3 linked regions of the Anolis sagrei genome follow. The protein of the gene in region 3 interacts with the protein of the main gene of each other region in a pairwise test. Links are inferred from orthologs where the notes say so. Each region holds a gene or a part of one and is shown on either strand. Other genes may lie near its edges.

What was found.
Region 1: the proteins of LMO3 (region 3) and PELO interact in binary tests that used the Homo sapiens proteins (3 or more experiments, as listed by UniProt). The link is inferred for Anolis sagrei from reciprocal best matches to the Homo sapiens genes LMO3 and PELO.
Region 2: the proteins of LMO3 (region 3) and WWOX interact in binary tests that used the Homo sapiens proteins (3 or more experiments, as listed by UniProt). The link is inferred for Anolis sagrei from reciprocal best matches to the Homo sapiens genes LMO3 and WWOX.

The regions. Positions count from the first base shown.
Region 1 is NC_090022.1:273,861,586-273,868,824, forward strand, and holds the start of PELO (protein pelota homolog), read right to left. Parts: upstream 3,085-7,239; 5' UTR 2,727-3,084; coding exon 2,001-2,726; intron 1-2,000. UniProt on the Homo sapiens protein: Component of the Pelota-HBS1L complex, a complex that recognizes stalled ribosomes and triggers the No-Go Decay (NGD) pathway.
Region 2 is NC_090028.1:14,082,636-14,089,672, reverse strand, and holds the start of WWOX (WW domain-containing oxidoreductase), read left to right. Parts: upstream 1-3,953; 5' UTR 3,954-4,083; coding exon 4,084-4,190; intron 4,191-7,037. UniProt on the Homo sapiens protein: Putative oxidoreductase. Acts as a tumor suppressor and plays a role in apoptosis. Required for normal bone development. May function synergistically with p53/TP53 to control genotoxic stress-induced cell death.
Region 3 is NC_090025.1:182,068,042-182,075,739, reverse strand, and holds the start of LMO3 (LIM domain only protein 3), read left to right. Parts: upstream 1-4,624; 5' UTR 4,625-4,957; coding exon 4,958-4,982; intron 4,983-7,698.

The DNA of each region.
Region 1 (7,239 bases), on a different chromosome or scaffold from region 3:
CATGCCTGGTATATAAAGTATCCATAAATTCAGAAACTTTAATTTTCCAGAATGCTGGAAGTTACAAATGCCTAAGGAGCAGTTACAAACACTGGAAGAGCCCAAGTTTGCCCAGGACTGGTGTAGAAGATGTAGCCTTTGAGCTTGAGATGACTTGATGCAGTAGACTGGCATCAGCTACTAATTTCCTCAGCCTCAAGGGTTACCGTAGTTATACTCAACTTGCCTGCTGTTATTCATTTTTTTTGTAATTGTTGTGCTTTTACTATGGCCTGGATTGTAATGTGTTTCTGTGCTTTATATGGGTTTTTGTTGCAAGCCGCTCCAAGTCCCTTTGGGACAAATGCAAGATACTCCACTTAGGTAGGAAAAAATGAAATGCAAAGATACAGAATGGGGGATACTTGGCTTGACTGCAGTATGTGTGAAAAAGATCTTGGCAGCCATCGTGGACAAGTTAAACATGAACCAGGAATGTCATGTGGCAGCTAAAAAAGCCAATGAGATTTTGGCCTGCATAAATAGGAACAAAGTGTCTAGATCCAGGGGAGTCACGCTACCCCTCTATTCTGCCTTGGTCAGACCACACCTGGAATCACACTGTGTCTAATTCTGGGCACCGTAATTGAAGGGAGATCTCAACAAGCTGGAATGTGGCCAGAGGAGGGCAACTAAAATGATCAAGGGTCTGGACAACAAGCCCTATGAGGAGCGGCTTAAAGAGTTGGGCATGTTTAGCCTGCAGAAGAGAAGGCTGAGAGAAGACATGTATAAACGTGTGAGGGGAGAAAGCTTGTTCCCTCCTCTTGGTCCCACCCCAGTCTCAAGGGAACGAGAGAGGGGACCTTCTACATGATCACTCCCAGTCTCTAGAACTCCCTTCCTAAAGAAGTAAAAACAGCCACCACCCTCCTCTCTTTTAAGAAACTTATAAAAATGCACCTTTGCACTTTAGTGTATAGAGAGGAGGATGACACTTTATTGGATCATTTTATTTTTCAACACAATACTTAATTCTTTGTTGTAAGCTTACTGTTATACCTGTTGTTTTACTGTGTATTATTTGTTACGTTTGCACTCACCTAGAGGCATTGAATGCTTTTTATATGTGTAAACAGGCCTGCATCCCTCTTGGGAGAGAGGGTGATATAGAAATAAAGTATTATTATTGTTGTTGTTGTTTTCTGCTGCCCTGGAGACTAGGATGCGGACCAATGGCTTCCAACTACAATACAGGAGATTCCACCTGAATATTAGGAAGAACGTCCTGACTGTGAAAGCTGTTCAGCAGTGGAACTCTCTGCCTCAGAGTGTGGTGGAGGCTCCTTCTTTGGAGACTTTTAAACAGAGGCTGGACGGCCATCTGTTGGGGGGTGCTTTGAAAGTGAAAGGGGTGCTTTGAAAGTATTATTATTATTGCTGCCCCTGGTGTTGCCTTACCTGTCAGAGCTGTTCAGCAGTGGAACTCTCTGCCCCAGAGTGTGGTGGAGGCTCCTTCTTTGGAGACTTTTAAACAGAGGCTGGACGGCCATCTGTTGAGGGTGCTTTGAAAGCGATTTTCCTGTTTTTTTTGGCAGGGGGATGGACTGGATGGCCCACCATACTATGATATAAATAACACTTATTACTATTATTATTATTATTATTGCTGCCCCAGGCGTTGCCTTTGATATTATTATTATTATTATTGTTATTATTATTATTATTGTTATTGCTGCCCCAGGCGTTGCCTTACCTGTCAGAGATGTTCAGGAGCGAAACTCTCTGCCCCAGAGTGTGACTGTCAGAACTGTTCAGCAGTGGAACTCTCTGCCCCAGAGTGTGGTGGAAGCTCCTTCTTTGGAGACTTTTAAACAGAGGCCGGATGGCCATCTGTTGGGGGTGCTTTGAAACGATTTTCCTGCTTTTTGGCAGGGGGTTGGACTGGATGACCCACGATACTATGATATAAATAACGTTTATTATGATTATTATGCTTGCTGCCCGAGGAGTGGCCTTACCTGCAGGAACTTGGAGCGGTTCTCGAGGAGGAGCTTGTTGTCGGTCTTGACGGCCTGCTGGAACATGTAGTCGCAGAACTGCTCTCGGACGAAGCCCGGGCTGGCGACGAGGACGCACTTGACCACGTCGAAGTTGACGTGGCGCTGGATGGCCTGGGCCACCTGCTCGTAGAAGCGCTCGAGGGCGCGGTCGTGCTGGGCGCAGCTGCCCCTCCGCTTCCGCGGGATGCTGACCTCCACCTTGGCGCGGGGGAGCGTCATGCTGGGCGTGACGAGGCAGACGTGGGCCAGGCCCTCCTGCATGACCACGGCGGCCAGGTCGGCGCCCCAGGCCGGGTCGCAGGCCTGCTCCACGCGCTCCAGCGCCACCGAGTCCCACTGCTTCTTGGCCAGCGTGAACTGGCGGTTGGGCTCCAGCTCGATGGTGTGGTAGGCGCCCATCTTGACGAACTCGTTCTCCTGGATGTTGGTGCCCTTGACGCGCAGCTGGCAGGCCTGCGAGTCGAAGTCGGTGGTCTCCACGCAGAGGGTGAGCGTGGTGCGGACGCGGCTGCTGCCCACGCTGCCCGTCGACGTCTCCGTCTGCACCTTCCGGATGGTGGCCGCCCGGAGGCTGTCGCCCGCCTGGATCAGGTTGTAGGCGTGCCACATGTCCTCGGCCTCCTCCGGCACCAGCGTCACCTGCCCCGCGTTGTCCTTTTCCATGTCCTTCCGCAACAGCTTCATCCTGCAGGCCTCTCTCTCTCTCTGCGGCCTACTCCGGAAAAAGCCGCCCGGCCTCGATTTACAAGTTCCCTTGCTAAGCGGCCTACTCCGGGAAAAGCCGCCTGGCCTCGATTTCCTAGTTGTCACACACTCTCTTTGCTAAGCAGCCATTGCGGCCTAGCACACTCCACGCCGCCTGAGCCAAATTTTCGATAAGGTGTCTTTGCCCGAGTTTGCTTCCTCTTCACCATCTCGGCATATTGCTCGTCTGAGAAGAGGAGAAAAGAGGGAGGAGCTTCCCCTAAGCCACGCCCCCTCGTCAAAGCGTCACAGGCAACCCAGCGCTGAATTTGTCCTCAGCTGGCTCAAATGCCCGGCTGGGGAAAAGGGGGCGGGGCTTGTCATCGGCCACGCCTCCTCAAAAAAAAACCGCGTCAAGGAGAAATCTAGGCAAATACGAGTAGCGTCCGCAACAGCGCATGCGCAATAAGGGGGCCAACCATAAAGAGAGACAGCGAGGCGTGACCGAGACGCCGAACGCAAAGCTGATTGGTTGAGTCGTTGCTGAGTCGGAGCCCCCGGTGGCGCAGTGGGTTAAGCCCTGTGCCGGCAGGACTGAAGACCGACGGGTCGCAGATTCGAATCCGGGGAGAGGCGGATGAGCTCCCTCTATCAGCTCCAGCTCCTCATGCGGGGGCATGAGAGAAGCCTCCCACAAGGATGATTAAAAACATCAATCATCCGGGTGTGGGGCAACGTCCTTGCAGGCGGCCAATTCTCTCACACCAGAAGCGACTTGCAGGTTCTCAAGTCGCTCCTGACAGACAAATAATAATAGCCAGTTGTTGGAGAGGAGGAGGAGGAGAAGGAAAGCGGGAGTTAGAAGTGCTTTCATTTAGTTTTGAGTGACTTTACGTTAATTTGGGTTAGGTTGCTGTGAGTTTTCTGGGCTGTCTGGCCATGTTCCAGAAGCATTCTCTCCTGACGTTTCACCCACATCTATGGCAGGCATCCTCAGGTTTGCATGCTGGTCGCTTCTGTGGCGAGAGAATCAGCCGTCTATGAAGACATTGCCCAGGGGACGCCCGGATGTCTTGCAATCCTGTGAGGAGGCTTCTCTCATGTCCCTCTGTACATCTTAGTTTTCTAAGATCTACAGAGACACTCGCTGGAACACCTCAGCAAACGAGAGTCCAAAAGTGGCAGGCTCAAACCCAGAACCTCAATCAATGGCTGATACCAAATGAGAGACTCCCCCCTGGGCACACAGAGGACTGGGCGACTTGGAAAGCGCTGAACAGACTGCGCTCTGGCACCACGAGATGCAGAGCCAACCTTCAGAAATGGGGCTACAAAGTGGAATCCTCGACATGCGAATGTGGAGAGGAGCAAACCACTGACCACCTGCTGCAATGCAACCTGAGCCCTGCCACTTGCACAATGGAGGACCTTCTTGCAGCAACACCAGAAGCACTCCAAGTGGCCAGCTACTGGTCAAAGGACATTTAATCAACTACCAAACTCAAAAATTTTGTATTTTGTCTGTTTGTTTGCTTTGTTCTGTTAGAAATGTAATATAATTGACTAGGTGGTGATGACTCGATAAATAAAAAAATAAAATCCTCATGTTATGAGGACTGTTGGAAACCTGAGTTATCAGTTTACCCCCCTCGCAAAACACGCATACCCTCTTTCATACTAAAAATAGCTGCCGTGATTATTTGGAAGTTTATTATTGTTGGGTTGTTGTAGGTTTTTTCAGACTATATGGCCATGGTCTAGAGGCATTCTCTCCTGACGTTTCGCCTGCATCTATGGCAAGCATCCTCAAGAGGTAGTGAGGTCTGTTGGAACTATGAAAAAGGGTTTATATATCTGTGGAAAGACCAGGGTGGGACAAAGGACTCTTGTCTGCTGGAGCTGCTATTGTATTATTATTTATTATTGTTGTTGATATTCTGTGTTCTCTCTCATAGATTCGTTTAATTTATAGGAATTCATTTACACCTCAAGTATCTTCCTCCACTTATTTATTTATTTATTTACAACATTTATATGCCACCCTTCTCACCCCGAAGGGGACTCAGAGCGGCTTACAATATATATATATATATATATATATATATATATATATATATACACACACACATACATACACACACACACACACATATACAATATATTATATTATTAGCATAATAATATCAATATCAGTATTATATATTACTATATTGTACTACACCATTATATTGTAATATTATTACTAATATTAAATGTAATATAAATATATATAATTATAATATTGTATTGTTATTATTGTAGTACATTATAATTTTTTCTTGTCGTGTCAGGAGTGACTCCTTGTGTGAGAGAATTGGCCTTCTGCAAGGACGTTGCCCAGGGGACGCCTGGATGATTTGATGTTTTTGTCATCCTTGTGGGAGGCTTCTCTCATTCCCGCATGAGGAGCTGGAGCTGAGAGAGGGAGCTCATCTGCCTCTCCCCGGATTTGAACCTGCGACCTGTTGATCTTCAGTCCTGCCAGCACAAGGGTTTAACCCACTGCACCACCGGAGGCTCCATTATAATATTATAAATATATGTATACACAATATATTATATTATTAGGAAACCACAGGAGACAAGATAGCCCCCTCTCTCTTCACTCTGGCCAGAGCAGCCGTTGGTGGGGGGGGGGGGGGGGGGAGAAGCCTCCCAACTGACAATGTAGGCAGGAGACAATTATCAGGCTTGTTTTTCAGCTCAGATGTTTGGAGACTTAACAGTCAAGAGGCTGTGGAAGGATGCTGGTAGGCCTCTGATGCATGGACATGGTACCACAGTCATCCTACAATATCTAGATATTCATGTTACTGCCTGATAGCTGCCTTAGATTTGGGTTGTTGTAGGTTTTTTTGGGCTATATGGGCATGTTCTAAGGCATTCTCTCCTGACATTTCACCTGCATCTATGGGAAGCATCCTCAGAGGTAGTGAGGTCTGTTGGAACTAGGAAAAAGGGTTTATATATCCGTGGAATGACCAGGGTGGGACAAAGGACTCTTGTCTGCTGGAGCTAGGTGTGAATGTTTCAACTGACCACCTTTATTTATTTATATTTCAAACTTATATGCCGCCACTCCCCTAGGGCTTGGAGCTACTTACAAGAACAAACTAAGATCTAACACAAATTAAATGCTAACCTTGACAAGCATTTGATGGCCTGGTGTGGCTTGTTAGTGCCTGGGGCAATCTATTGTTGAGAGGTGATTAGATGTCCCTGATTGTTTCCTCTCTATTGTTTTGCTGTTGTAATTTTAGAGTTTTTTAATGGTAGCCAGATTTTTTTCATTTTCATGGTTTCCTCCTTTCTGTTGAAATTGTCCACATGCTTGTGAATTTCAATGGCTTCTCTGTGTAGTCTGACATGGTGGTTGTTAGAGTGGTCCAGCATTTCTGTGTTCTCAAATAATATGCTGTGTCCTGGTTGGGTCATCAGGTGCTCTGCTATGGCTGACTTCTCTGGTTGAAGTAGTCTGTACTCCCTTTCATGTTCCTTGATTCATATTTAGGCGCTGCGTTTAGTGGTCCCTATGTAGACTTGTCCACAGCTGCATGGTATAAGGTAGTCTACTGTATACCATGCAGCTGTGGATAAGTCTATAGGGACCACCAAACGCAGCGCCCAAACACGAATCAAGGAACACGAAAGGCACTGCAGACTACTTCAACCAGAGAAGTCAGCCATAGCAGAGCACCTGATGACCCAACCAGGACACAGCATATTATTTGAGAACACAGAAATGCTGGACCACTCTCACAACCACCATATCAGACTACACAGAGAAGCCATTGAAATTCACAAAAAAACCTATAACAACCCAGTGATTCCGGCCATGAAAGCCTTCAACAATACATTGCCTTAGATATTTTTTAATGCAGGCCTGGACAAACTTGGACCACCCAGGTGTTTTGGTCTTCAGCTCCCACAATTCCTAACAGCCCCAGGCCCTTTCCTTTCCCCCCTCAGCCGCTTAAGCCTGAGGCTGTTAAGAATTGCGGGAGTTGAAGTCCAAAACACCTGGGCGGCCCAACTTTGCCCAAGGGATAACTGACAAATGATTCCAGTAGCAGAAAGGGGTTTTTTTTTCCTTCTTCTTGTGGCCAGTGGGGTCTGACTTTGTAGGATAGGTAGAAAAGGCAAAGATTAATCTATGTCTTTTAACTGATTTTATTTTTTTTAACCAAAAGGCTGTTCGAGTGGTTTATGCACAGTCATCTTAATAATTGGAATATGGGCCTAATCCAGGCTTTGAGTTATTTATGATGGTATGTTCCTAGGAAAAGCAGAACTCAGCAGTGGGGAAGAAATCCACTTTTTAAAAGTTTCCAAGCAGGTTCAGAAGTGGGCAGTACACCACCCAAATAGTGGAAAATAGTGGAACATGCAAATGTCCTAGTTAAACATAAACTCCCTTTATGTGGTTGTGCTGGGCATGGCTTTCTGACTCAGCTGGCAAAAGCTGGTGGTGATT
Region 2 (7,037 bases), on a different chromosome or scaffold from region 3:
GAGTCACTCTGGACCATGCTCTTACCTACAAGAAGCACTGACTGAACATCAAGCAAAAAGTGGGTGCCAGAAACAATATCATACGAAAGCTGACTGGCACAACCTGGGGATCACAACCAGATACAGTGAAGACATCTGCCCTTGTGCTATCCTACTCTGCTGCTGAGTATGCATGCCCAGTGTGGAACACATCTCACCACACTAAAACAGTGGATGTGGCTCTTAATGAGACATGCCGCATTATCACGGGGTGTCTGTGCTCTACACCACTGGAGAAATTACACTGCTTAGCCGGTATTGCACCACCTGACATCCGCCGGGAAGTAGCAGCCAATAGTGAAAGGACCAATGCAGAGACCTCTCCAGCTCATCCCGTTTGAGTATCAGCCAGCACGTCAACGACTTAAATCTAGAAATAGTTTTCTAAGATCTACAGAGACACTCTCTGGAACACCTCAGCAAGTGAGAGTCCAAAAGTGGCAGGCTCAAACCCAGAACCTCAACCAATGGCTGATACCAAGTGAGAGACTACCCCCTGGGCACACAGAGGACTGGGCGACTTGGAAGGCGCTGAACAGGCTGCGCTCTGGCACCACGAGATGCAGAGCCAACCTTCAGAAATGGGGCTACAAAGTGGAATCCTCGACATGCGAGTGTGGAGAGGAGCAAACCACAGACCACCTGCTGCAATACAACCTGAGGCCTGCCACATGCACAATGGAGGACCTTCTTCCAGCAACACCAGAAGCACTCCAAGTGGCCAGATACTGGTCAAAGGACATTTAACCAACTACCAATCTCACAAGTTTCGTATTTTGTCTGTTTGTTTGCTTTGTTCTGTTAGAAATGTAATATGATGAACTGGTTGCTCTGACACGACAAATAAAAAATGAGGGGGCATGAGAGAAGCCTCCCACAAGGATGGTAAAAACATCAAAACATCCCCTGGGCAACGTCCTTGCAGACAGCCAATTCTCTCATACCAAAAGCGACTTGCAGTTTCTCAAGTCGCTCCTGACATGACAAAACAAACAAACAAATAAAAAACACCTATGTTCACCTTGCAAAATTTCCAGCTATTTTCTTTGAATTTGCAGAGAAGTCATGCTACCCCTCTATTCTGCCTTGGTTAGACCACACCTGGAATATTGTGTCCAATTCTAGGCACCACAATTGAAGAGAGATATTGACATGCTGGAATGTGTCCAGAGGACTGCTAAAATGATCAAGGGTCTGGAGCCCTATGAGGAGCGGGTTAAAGCGTTGGGCATGTTTAGCCTGAAGAAGAGAAGGCTGAGAGGAGACATGTTATAATATGTGAGAGGAAATCATAGGGAGGAGGGAACAAGCTTGTTTTCAGCTTCCCTGGAGACTAGGACACAGAAGAATGGCTTCAAACTACAAGAAAGGAGATTCCATCTGAACATGAGGAAGAACTTCCTGACTGTGAGAGCCGTTCAGCAGTGGAACTCTCTGCTCTGGAGTGTGGTGGAGGCTCCTTCTTTGGAAGCCGATCCAGTTCAGAGCACAATTCAAAGCGCTGATTTTGACCTACAAAACCCTATACGGTTCCGGCACAGCGTACCTGTCCGAACGGATCTCCCTCTATGTCCCACCTCGGAGTTTAAGATCTTCTGGGGAGGCTCTGCTCTCGGCCCCGCCTCTATTACAAGTGAGATTGGCGGGGACGAGGAGCAGGGCCTTCTTGGTGGTGGCCCCCCACCTGTGGAATTCGCTCCCAGGGGAAATTAGATCAGCGACATCACTCCTTTCCTTCAGGAAAATACTGAAAACATGGATTTGGAACCAGGCATTCGGACAATTGTGCAGATAAAGAAAGGGCTTTGAGAATGGCCAGGAAATGACTAATGGAATGGAATTTGGAACTCTGAAAGACGAACGCTGAGCATGTGAATAGTTTTTATATGATGTGATGTATAGTGATTGTTATGATTGTTTTAACTGTGATAATTGTTTTAACTATGGTTTTGTACACTATGTATAATTTTTGTATAGGCATCAAATTGTGCCTTTTGTAACCCGCCCTGGGTCCCCCCTCGGGGGTTGAGAAGGGCGGGGTAAAAGTACCCGAAATAAATAAATAAATAAATATCAGATATTTACATTACTATTCATAACAGTAGCAAAATGACAATTATGAAGTGGCAACGAAAATAATGTTATGGTTGTGGGTCACCACAACATGAGGAACTGTATTAAGGGGTCGCAGCATTAGGAAGGTTGAGAAACACTGCTCTATGGAGATACCCTCACTGATACAGCTTCAGCTTCATGACTACTCAAATCTTGCAACATTCATACTTGCTTTAAACAGACAAGAGTTCTTTCTCCCACCCTGGATTATTCCACAGGTATAGAAACACTCCACTTTCTTCACTGCTAACAGGCCAGGAAATCAGAAGACGCTTACTTCTTGGGAGGAGAGCAATGTCCGGTCTCGATAAAATAGTAAAGAGTAGAGACATCACACTGGCAACAAAGATCCGCCTAGTCAAAGCCATGGTATTCCCTGTAGTCACCTACGGATGTGAGAGCTGGACCTTAGGGAAGGCTGAGCGAAGGAAGAGAGATGCTTTTGAGCTGTGGTGTTGGAGGAAAGTTCTGAGAGTGCCTTGGACTGCGAGAAGATCCAACCAGTCCATCCTCCAGGAAATAAAGCCCGACTGCTCATTGGAGGGAAGGATACTAGAGACAAAGTTGAAGTACTTTGGCCACATCATGAGGAGACAGCAAAGCCTGGAGAAGACAATTATGCTGGGGAAAGTGGAAGGCAAAAGGAAGAGGGGCCGACCAAGGACAAGATGGATGGATGGCATCCTTGAAGTGACTGGACTGACCTTGAAAGAGCTGGGGGTGGTGACGGCCGACAGGGAGCTCTGGCGTGGGCTGGTCCATGAGGTCACGAAGAGTCGGAGACGACTAAACGAATGAACAACAACAACAGGACCTCTGAAGATGCCATTAACCACAGATGCAGGCGAAACGTCAGGAAGGAATGCTGCTGGAACAAGGCCAAAAAACTCACAGCAATCCAGTGATTCTGGCCATAAAAGACTTATATCTGCCCTGAATTGGGTTATCTCAGGCCCCTACCACACGTTATAAAACCCCACATTATCTGCTTCGAACTGGATTATATAGCAGTGTGGACTCAGGGCCCGTCCACACAGCCATATAACCAAGAATATCAAGGGAGAACATCCCACAATATCTGCTCTGAACTGGGCTATCTGAAGCCCCTTCCATACAGCTGAATAAAATCCCACATTTTCTGCTCTGAACTGGAATATATGGCAGTGTGGACTCAGATAACTCAGTTCAAAGCAGGTATTGTGGGATTTCTTGCCTTGATATTCTGGGATATTGGGCTGTGTGGAAGGGCCCTTCAGTTAATGAAGCCACAACAGGAAGCAGCCAGGCTTTGAAGCTGCAAGGTCATTCAATGCTAATCAAGGTGGCCAATTTTAACATCCACACTTGCCTCCAACAGACAAGAGTTCTTTCTCCCACGCTGGACATTATTCCACAGATGTATAAACCTCATTTGCCTAGTTTCCAACAGACCTCACAACCTCTGAGGATGCCTGCCACAGATGTGGGCAAAACGTCAGGAGAGAATGCTTCTGGGACATACAGCCCAGAAAACTCACAGCAACCCACAACAGATAGTTATTGTAGAGGAGATAATGTCACAACAGAGTAAATCCTCTCCCCTTCCCTTTTAAAATCTTTTCAGAGATAGAAAGAAAAACTTCCCATTCCCAAACAGAACCGCCTGGCTCTTCTGACTCATCCCACGCTCGATTGTTTTCCTAGGACAGGCGCACGTGTCTTTTTGGCCCCAAGACTACATTTCCCAGCGTGCCCTTCGCCCTCCCCGCTCTGTGATTGGTCACCCCTAACGGAAGGGTTGCTTCATGAAAAGGGGCTCGGTGTGCAACGCTAAGGAGCAGAAAGGTTCCGCCTTAGTGGGACAGTAGGGAAGGGAGCTTTGGGGTTAGGAGCAGGGACCTTTCTTGGCCCTTTTGAGAAGAGGTTGCCTTGGAGACGGGAGAGAGCGGTATGGCGGCGCTGAAGTACGCGGGTCTGGACGACACTGACAGCGAGGAGGAGCTGCCCCCCGGCTGGGAGGAGAGGACCACCAAGGACGGCTGGGTCTACTACGCCAAGTAAGGAGACGGGGGAGCTTTGGGGGAGGCCTGGGCCAACTTGGGCCCTCCAGGTGTTTTGGACTTCAACTCCCACAATCCCTAACAGTCTCAGGCCCTTTCATTTCCCCCCTCAGCCACTTAAGTGTCTTAAAAATCTGGGTATGTTTAGCCTGCAGAAGAGATTGAGAGGAGACATGTATAAATATGTGGAAGGATGTCATAAAGAGACTTGTTTTCTGCTGCTTTGGAGATTGGGACACAATTGAGCCATGGATTCAAATGACAGGAAAGGAGATTCCACCAACATGAGGAAGAACTTCCTGACTGTAAGAGCTGTTCAGCAGTGGAACTCTCTGCCTCGGAGTGTGTCGGAAGCATCTTCCTTGGAGGCTTTTAAACAGAAGCTGGATGACCATCTGTCTGGGTATTTTAATTGAGCTTTTCCTGCATAGGAGGGGGAGGACTAGATGACTCATGTAGTCTCGTCCAACTCTATGAGGAAGAACTTCCTGACTATGAGAGCCATTCAGCAGTGGAACTCTCTGCCTCGGAGTGTGTCGGAAGCACCTTCCTTGCAGGCTTTTAAACAGAGGCTGGATGACCATCTGTCGGGGTATATAAGAACTTCCTGACTATGAGAGCCGTTCAGCAGTGGAACTCTCTGCCTCGGAGTGTGGTGGAAGCGCCTTCCTTGGAGGCTTTTAAACACAAGCTGGATGACCATCTGTCGGGGTATTTTAATTGAGCTTTTCCTGCATAGGAAGGGGTAGGACTAGATGACCCATGTGGTCTCGTCCAACTCTTTGAGGAAGAACTTCCTGACTATGAGAGCCGTTCAGCAGTGGCACTCTCTGCCTCGGAGTGTGTCGAAAGCACCTTCCTTGCAGGCTTTTAAACAGAGGCTGGATGACCATCTGTCGGGGTATATAAGAACTTCCTGACTATGAGAGCCGTTCAGCAGGGCAACTCTCTGCCTTGGAGTGTGGTGGAAGCACCTTCCTTGGAGGCTTTTAAACAGAGGCTGGATGACCATCTGTCGGGGTATATAAGAACTTCCTGACTATGAGAGGCGTTCAGCAGGGCAACTCTCTGCCTTGGAGTGTGGTGGAAGCACCTTCCTTGGAGGCTTTTAAACAGAGGCTGGATGACCATCTGTTGGGGTATTTTAATTGAACTTTTCCTGCATAGGAGGGGGTTGGACTAGACAGCCCATGTAGTCTCGTCCAACTCTATGAGGAAGAACTTCCTGACTGTGAGAGCCGTTCAGCAGTGGAACTCTCTGCCTCGGAGTGTGTCGAAGCACCTTCCTTGCAGGCTTTTAAACAGAGGCTGGATGGCCATCTGTCGGGGGTGCTTTGAATGCAATATTCCTGCTTCTTGACAGGGGGTTGGACTGGATGTCCCACGAGGTCTCTTCCAACTCTATGATTCTATAACCCTATGATTCAATGACATGCCACCAGGTAATGCACAACTCCTGCCAAAGTGCCACTTTTGACACAACGATTAAAGCCCTTTCCAGTTTCCATTCTGAAAATAGAGGGTAATTTTGGGCACCACAATTGAAGGGAGATGTTGACAAGCTGGAAAGTGTCCAGGGGAGGGCAACTAAAATGATTAGGGGTCTGGAGAACAAGCCCTATGAGGAGTGGGTTAAAGACCTGGGCATGTTTAGCCTGACGAGGAAGTCACAGGGAGGAGGGAGCAAGCTTGATTTCTGCTGCCCTGGAGACTAGGATGCAGGACAATGGCTTCAAACTACAAGAAAGGAGATTCTATCTGAACATGAGGAAGAACTTCCTGATTGTGAGAGCCGTTCAGCAGTGGAACTCTCTGCCCCGGAGTGTGGTAGAGGCTCCTTCTTTGGAAGCTTTTAAACGGAGGCTGGATGGCCATCTGTCAGGGTGCTTTGAATGCAATTTTCCTGCTTCTTGGCAGAATGGGGTTGGACTGGATGGCCCAGGAGGTCTCTTTCAACTCTAGGATTCTATGATTCCCTTTGTGGGTTGGAATGAGAGTTTGCATGTGCATGTGCCCTGCTTGGGGATATAGAAAGGAACTAAAGGTTATCAGAATGGAAATCGTAGATTGCTTCTGTATCCTTCCTTATTGGGTGGGAAACGGGATTTTCAGCATGTGTTGCTTATGACCTGTTTGTTTCAAGCAACACTTGCTCATTTTTTCTGTTTTGTTTTTTTGTGCAGCCTTGAATAAATGACACCCCAAGGGCCAGCCAGTCCAGTCTTCTGCCACGCAGGAATACTCAATCAAAGCACTCCTAACAGATGGCCGTCCAGCTTGTTTTTTAAAAACTCTAGAGAACGAGACTTCACCAGACTGAGGATATGAGTCCCACTTCCAAAGAATGAGGCTTTCCTACACTCCGGGGCAGAGAAATTTCAGTCAGGAAGTTTTTCCTAGTGTGGAAAATCTCTTTCCCTGCAATGTGAACCCATTATTTGATGTCCTGGTCTCTAAAGATGGCCAAGGGGACAGTTCCACCTTGTCTCCTGTGCTATTCTAATAATATAATATATTGCAATATAATATAGTATAATATAATATAATATATTGTATATACATATATTTATAATGTCTACGGACGACGCTGGCTCTTCGGCTTAGAAATGGAGATGAGCACCACACCCCAGAGTCAGACATGACTGGACTTAATGTCAGGGGACTACCTTTATCTATATTTATAATATTATAATGTAATGCAATATATTACTACTAATAATATATTATATATTTATATTACATGTAATCCATATAAATAAAAATGTAATGTTCGTTTGTGGGATTAACTGAACTCAAAAACCACTGGACGAATTGACACCAACTTTGGACACAACCCAATGTATG
Region 3 (7,698 bases):
GATGAGTCCACAGCAGACAAGATCACTCTGCTGGCTGTTGTATTGGATCACACCTCAGACACTTTCCAAGTGTCTAGAACTGTGTGATGTATATTATTATTATTATTATTATTATTATTATTATTATTATTATTTATTAGGGTTGGTGCATTATCTGGCCTTAGGAAGAGCCAGGCTGATGACAAACCCCTCCTAGGCTTCAAAAGCTTTGCAAAGCACCTTTTCTCATAATGGGTGTCATTCATTTTCTCTTTAAGGGATGGGGGATTCTGACATCTTTAAGGAGGGGGAAAAAAACCTTTGTGGCAATCTTGGTGTGAGGCTCTTAATGGCAGGCAAGCGAGGGTCGCTTTGAAGTCTGGCAAAAGGCGCTGGCAAATTCTTAATCGGTTTCTTCCCCCCTTTTTTCCCCTCTCCCAGCTGTAGGGTTGACTCTTTTCAAAAGGGAAGGCGCCTGGGGGGAGGTGGGGGGTTATTTACACCAGAAGGAGGCTCTACGTGGGGTCGGGAAGGGGGGGGATAGGAAGCCCCATCTCTTAATATTTTGTGAGAGGGAGCAGCATCCAGCACTGCACTGAAATGTGTATGCTTTCAATCCCGGGCCTGAAACTTAGCTCAGGTTGAGAGCATCCAGCCTTGGTGGATGTCTAGAGCAGGCCTGGGCCAACTTGGGGACCTCTAGATGTTTTGGACTTCAACTCCCACCATTCCTAACAGCCTCAGGCCCCTTCCTTTTCCCCCTCAGCCGCTTAAGCGGCTGAGGGGGAAAAGGAAGGGGTCTGAGGCTGTTAGGAATGGTGGGAGTTGAAGTCCAAAACACCTAGAGGTCCCCAAGTTGGCCCAAACCTGTTCTACCCCTTCTTCAAAACCTCCCTGTTGCAATTCCTGAACTAGTCCCCAAAAGGTCCTTTGAAAGGATGTATAAGAAGAAGCCAAGGTGGTTTTCTGCTGCTCCAGAGACTAGGAAACAGAGCAATGGATTCACATTGTAGAGAAGAGAGATCCCACCTAAACATTAGGAAGAACTTCCTGGCAGGAAGAGCTGTTGTTCAACAGTGGAATGTGGTGCTTTAGTGTGTTGGAGTCCCCTTCTGTGGAGGTTTTTCAGCAGAGGCGTGGAGGGCCATCTGTCAGGAATGCTTTGGTTGTATTTCCCTGAAAGAGGGAAGGGTTGAACTGGGTGGCCCTTGTGCCTCTTCCAAGTCTGGATTTCTAAGTTTTAAGGGATGGGGGAGTGAGGAAAGGCTTCAGGGTTGCTGTGAGTTTTCCAGGCTGTGTGGCCATGTTCCAGAAGCATTCTCTCCTGACATTTTGCCTGCATCTAGGGCAGGCATCCTCAGAGGTTGTGAGGCCTATTAGAAACTAGGAAAATGGAGTTTATATATTTGTGAAATGTCCAGGGTGGGAGATAGAACTCTTGTCCATTTGAGGTAGGTGTGGATGCTGCAACTGGCCACCTTGATTAGCATTGAATGGCCTAGCAGTTTCAAGGTCTGGCTTCTTACTGCCTGGGAGAATCATTTGTTGGGAGGTAAACAAGGGAGGTTTATATATCTGTGGAAGGTCCAGGGTGGGAGAAAGAACTCTTGTCTGTTGGAGGCAAGTGTGAATGTTGCAATTGGCCACCTTGATTAGCATTGCAAAGCCTTGCAGCTTCAAGCCTTTATATTATTTAAGATCATTTTCGTATGGTTTGGTATATATGTGAGAGGCAAGTGTGAATGCCTTGATTAACACCAAAAAGCCTTGCAGCTTCAAGGCCTGGCTGATTCCTTCCTGGGTGTTAGATGGCCCTCATTGTTTCCTGTCTGGAAGTCCCCTGTTTTCAGAGTGTTGTTCTTTATTTACTATTTTGATTCTGGTGGGTTTTTTAAATACTGGTCGCCAGATTTTGTTCATTTTCATGGCTTCCTCCTTTCTGTTGCAATTGCCCACATGCTTGTGTGGATTTCCATGGCTTCTCTGGGTAGTCTAATCAAGGAGGCCAACTGCAACATTCACACTTGCCTTCGACAGACAAGAGTTGGACCTTCCACAGATATATAAACCTAGTTTCCAACTGACCTCACAACCTCTAAGCATGCCTGCCATAGATGTGGGCGAAACGTCAGGAGAGAATGCTTCTGGAACCTAGCCATACAGCCCGGAAAACTCGCAGCAACCTAGTGATTCCGGCCATGAGAGCCTTCGACAACACAAAGAAAGGCTTCTCTTTTAGGATCCCTTTCCCATCTCCAACCCTTCCCTTCCTAGGAAGCCCAAGGGCCTCTCTTCCCAAAGGGGGAAACCCAGCCTTCAATGGGGGGCTCCACGTGGGAGGAAAGTGACAGGCGCCACGAAGGAGCTCTTGGGCTCCCAACTTTGGGGGAAGGGAGAGCGGCCCTCTCGTCTCCTGGGAATGTGGCAGGGATTTCTTGCAGAGAGAAGGGGATTTGAGTGGGGGGCTTCTCCCTCCCTCCCCCCCCCCCCAATCCCAGCTTGGTGGCTCGTGCCTGGCGCCTGCAGCTGCTTTCCTCCGACTTGAACTCGCCGCCTCGTAAACTGTTCACTGGGGGGGGGGGGGGGGGTGAGCGACAAAGCCCAATCTGTCTCCGGGCTGCTTTGCGCTGTGGCGAGCGGGCTTTGCGGCTTGCGAGAGGGAGGCGGGGGGCGACGAGGAGGAGGGGAAGGAGGGAAGGAGGGGGTTGGGGGAGAGAGGAGGGGGGCTGTGTGTGCGTGCGTGAGAGAGAGAGAGAGAGAGAGAGAGAGGAAGGAGGTAAATAGCCTGCTACCGGACGCCAGTTCCTCAGCTCCTCTCCTGCTTCTCCAAATCCCACTCCACGCCGAGAACACGAGTGACCTTTCTCCCCCCCTTTGCTGTATTATGTCTGGCTGGTTAAGGGATTGCGTCCTGCAGTTGGTTCAGCCCCTGACTTCTTCCAGCTCGGCTCAAAGCACGCTGCTGCTTTAGGTAAGTTCTTTCTCTCCTCCCTCCTTCCCTCCTCCCTCTCTCTTCTTTCCTTCTCTCTCTCTCTCGGTCCCGATTTCCAAGGCTTCCTTTGGCTTGAGCCTAAACCCACAGGCATCCTTGTCCCCCTTCCCTAGAAAGGCCACCTGTAGCTGGGGCTCCGTTTCTTTAGTTTTTGGGGGGAAGAGAAGCAGGCGCCCTCTTTCTGCGCCCCTCCTTCTCTCCGCGTCCGCTCAACTCCTTCCTTTCCTCTCTTCCCTTCTATCCTTTCCTCTCTTTCCTTCCTTCCTCTTCCCTTCCTTCCTCTCTTCCCTTCCTTTCTTCCTCTCTTCCCTTTCTTATTTCCATTCCTTCCTTTCCTCTCCTTCCTTCCTTCCTCTCTTCCCTTCCTTTCTTCCTCTCTTCCCTTTCTTACTTCCATTCCTTCCTTTCCTCTCTTCCCTTCCTTACTTCCATTCCTTCCTTTCCTCTCTTTCCTTCTTTCTTTCTTTCCTTCCTTCCTTTCCTCTCTTCCCTTCCTTACTTCCATTCCTTCCTTTCCTCTCTTTCCTTCTTTCTTTCCTTCCTTCCTCTCTTCCCTTCCTTACTTCCATTCCTTCCTTTCCTCTCTTTCCTTCCATCCTTTCCTCTCTTCCCTTACCTTCCCTCCTTCTTTTCCTCTCTCCCCTTCCTTCCCTCTCTTCTCTTCCCTTCCTTCCTCTCCTCTCTCCATCCTTCCTTCCTTCCTTCCCTTCCCTCCCTCCTCTTTTCTCTTTCTCTTCTTTCCCCCTCCGACCATGCTGCGCGCAATCTCTGTCCTTCCCCAAGGAGAGCGCCTCGAAAGTGGCATCTAGGGGTCCCGAAGTGACTTTGCCCGTGTCGAGTGGAGAAGGTAAGTTGGGGCCAGTGGGAGCCTGAGGCGGGAAGGGAGGGCTCTGGGTCAGGATGTGGGGCTTGGGGCTTCCTCTCTTTCCCCCTCCTGGCCCCCATACCATACCCACCCCTCTCTCCTCCTTTCTTCCTCTTTCCTCTTGCTGCCCTGCAACTTTGGGCTGGAAGCACTTTGGGGAGGTGTGTGTGTGCGCTTTTGACTCGTCTGGTTTTGGCCGGGCACCGGAGAGTCCTGGCTCGGACTTTGGGGAAGGAAGGGCCCGCTTGGCGTGGCTAGTTGGAACAAAGTCAAACAATGGAGCCCAGGCTGGCCTTTTCCTGCCCCGAAGCGGCGAGCGCGCCTCTCCAACGCCGTGGCGAGAGAGAGAGAGAAAGAGAGCAGCTGCTTTCCTTCCTCGCCTTCCTTCCAACCCTTTCCCCCTCTCCTCTAGATAGGAACCGGGTTCCCTTTCTCTTCTTTCCAAACCCCAACTCTTTCATAAAGAGGCTCGAAACGGTGTGGACAGGGCGCAATGTTGAGCCCTTCCTGCCCTCTCCATTCGCGATCAATTTGGAGAAAGATCGGAGCTTGGAAAGCAGCCTCCCCGGCTTTTGTCATGGAGATCTCTTCCTACTCTTTACTCGTCTCTCTTCTCTCTCTCTCTCTCTGATCTCCAGCCCCAATCCTTCCTTTCTGGCTGGGATGTTTCCTCCTACTATTGTGGCATGGCTCTTCCTTCCAAACCCCGAGATCGGGAAAGAAGAGAGTTCAGGGAGCCACCGGGATCTGTCCTCCTTTCGCCACTATCATCACTCTCTCTCACACACACGGATTTCCCTAAGAGGACTTCACGCTGGCAAAGGCGTCCTGCGTGTGTGTCTGTGGCTGTGTGTGTGAGAGAGAAAGCGAGTGCGCGCGGCTTTTCCTCGCAGCCCAAGCGTCGCCTTCTTCCCAAGTGCTTCTCTCTGCACAATAGCCCTTCTCTCCCTCCTCTTTCTCTTCTCTCTTTCGCCTCCTTCCTTCCCCGGTGTCCAGCACTCTCCTCTTCCACTGGACCCACACGGGGAGGAAGAGGGGGCTGGGGAGGCTGGCCTGCTTGCCCATTGCCTTGCCTGGGCTCAAAGCGAAGCAGCTCCCTGGGAAGTCCCTGCCATCCCCTCATGCAGAAAAAGGAGAAAAGTTTTGGTAAGGTTGTTGTCATCGCGTCTTCGGGTGTGTGAGTTGTCTGTCCGTCTCTCCCTCCCTCTAGCATCCCTGTGTCTATATGTGTGTGTCTATACTCTATATATCTATTTCGAGGGAGGAACAGGGGGAAAGCAAAGCTACCCTTTGGCCATCCATCCAAGCCTGTCCTGAACTGTCCTGTTGGACAGGATGGTGTTTTCTGCAAACGCCTTGGGTCGGGGATCTCCAAACACAACCCCTCCTGATCTGATTTAGGAATTGTGATGGATCTCTTTCTTTTCCCCTTCTCCCTGCCGCATTACTAATACTAATAACTAGGACAACAAAGCCAAGGCACAGGCTGTCCTTGCCTGGCTCTGGCAGGGGTGATGAGAAGAGCCAGAATTGTGTTAGAGATACAAAAGAGGAGGGGTCTTTGTTGTTAAAGTGTGTGTTTCCTCTGTCCTGCTCCTGTGTCTGTCTATGTGGGTGAGAATGTGTGTGTATTAATTTTTCTCCCCTTTTTTTTTCTTTTTTTTGCATGTGAACTGCATCAAAATTGAGCTCACTCTTGCAAATCTCTTGTTGGCCTTTGCCAACCACTAGCACTTTGCTGCCATGGTAACTGTAATTAAACTGATAAGAGTGGAAAAATGTCAGTATCTCTCTGAGTCTTACAGCTGCATTGGAAGAAAGGAGGGGAGGAGAGAATCAAATTGGCTTCCAGCAGCACCGCATTCAGTTTGGAAAGGGGCAGAGGGGGGGGGGGGGAGGTGGAAGGAAAATGGGAGGGGGAAAAGTGGTGTATTAAACAGTTTATGGGTGACAGACTTTAAAGAAAACAGCCACACTTGAGTTCTTGGCGTGGGATGGATATATATATATATATATATATATATGAGGAAGACAGAGAGAGATGTTTGCACTTCCTATCCCTCTGAGAGCTGGAGGATATAGAGAAGATGTGGGCCAATGAACAGAGAAACAAGCTTTTAGGCCCGAAACCAAATGGCTTTTCAGAAATAGAGGAGGTGACAAGGAGGGGAGGGCGGAAAGTGAGGAGGAAGCCTTTTGTCATTCTTGGCAGAACCAATTTCTTTCTTCTGAGCTGGTGTTAGGTTTTTGTTTTGTTTTTTTGTGTGTGTGGAACAACTTGAGAAACTGCAAGTCGCTTCTGGTGTGAGAGAATTGGCCATCTGCAAGGACGTTGCCCAGGGGATGCCCGGATGTTTTGATGTTTTGCCATCCTTGTAGGATTTGCAGTTCCTCAAGTTGCTCCTGACATGAAAAAAAATCCTTGTGGGAGGTTTCTCTCATGTTCCCACATGGGGAGCTGGAGCTGACAGATGGAGCTCATCCGTGCTCTCCCTAGATTCAAACCTCTGACCTGTCAGTCTTTAGTCCTGCCAGCACAAGGGTTTAACCCATTGCGCCACTGGGTGCTAGTTATGTGATGGCATATCTAGCTGCAAAAAATGCCACCTTACCCTAATCTGTACCCTACCCTACCCTCCTCTTTCTTCAAAGCTGCACCCAAAGTTCCCAGCAAGTATGGCAGAAATGTGGTGGTCTTGTGAGGGAGAGAGTGCTGGCGGTGTGCATGTGTGTGGTTTTGAAAACAAAATGTCCTTGCTTGAGGATGACAGCAATTAGCGTGAAGTAGACAAAAAGTCCCATGTTCCGAATGGCAAAAGGTGGCAGGGTGAAGTCCTGGGTGTTACGGAGTTGCGATCACTTTGTTGTGTTTGTATCTGAAAGTGTAGGGAGGGTATGAGGGGAGATGAATGGCACAGAGCTAGGGAACATAATGGAGGCAATGGAGCATTGGGGTGGCGCACAATGCAATCCTGGCAATTAAAAACTCACCAGAGTTTTTGAAATGCAATGGCTCCTGCTTCTTCTTGGCTTGCCACGCTGCATGGCTATTATTCCATGTGTCTGTCTCCATCTCTCTCCCTCTTTAATTATGATTTCCCTTAACCTGTCAAACAATTCAAATGTAGCAGGGGCCTCTGAGGCAATAGGATTTTCTTCCCCCCACCAAACAATTTGCATGCCAGTCTGAAGGACTCCTGAGGTGTGGGGAGGAATTCCAGAACGTGCCTGTTTATCAAAATGGCTTTTTGTCGAAATAGGCATTCCTTCCTTGAATAAGTGTGTGTTACCGAGGGAGTTCCAGCAGCTACTTTTTGAGCATTGGATTAGCACTCCCCCGAACTTCAGCGCTCAAATACTTCTGCACGCCCAACAGCCTTTAAGTTGGAGCATCCTAGCTTTGGAAAGGGTCTTAAATTGTTAAGGTTGCTGCCTTATGCACATTTATGCAGAGAGCCCAAGTCCCTCTGAAATCAATTTTGTCCGCTTCTCAGTAAATATGTACAACGTCATGTCTTGTTCATAGGTATTTAGTAGGCACTGTGCAGTTTTGCCTCACAGCCCAACCCTATATATTTCTGTTTGCAAGTCAATCTTAGTAGAGAGAGAATGTGATATGTTCACAATTCATGGCCACCCTTTGCGTTTCGATGGCGAACAGAAGCAAACTTCGAAGGTCTTGGTTAGCATGGAAACATTCTGCATAAGGAACTGGGTATGCTCTTTTGCTAATGGATAGGACTAGGCTGAAAATCATAACTCAGCGGCCCCAATTAATATTTCTTGCAATCTGGGATGGGTGTTGTGAAGGGGAGAATTAGGAAATGGAGAAAGAGAGAGCTGTGTTGAATTCTCTACCCAG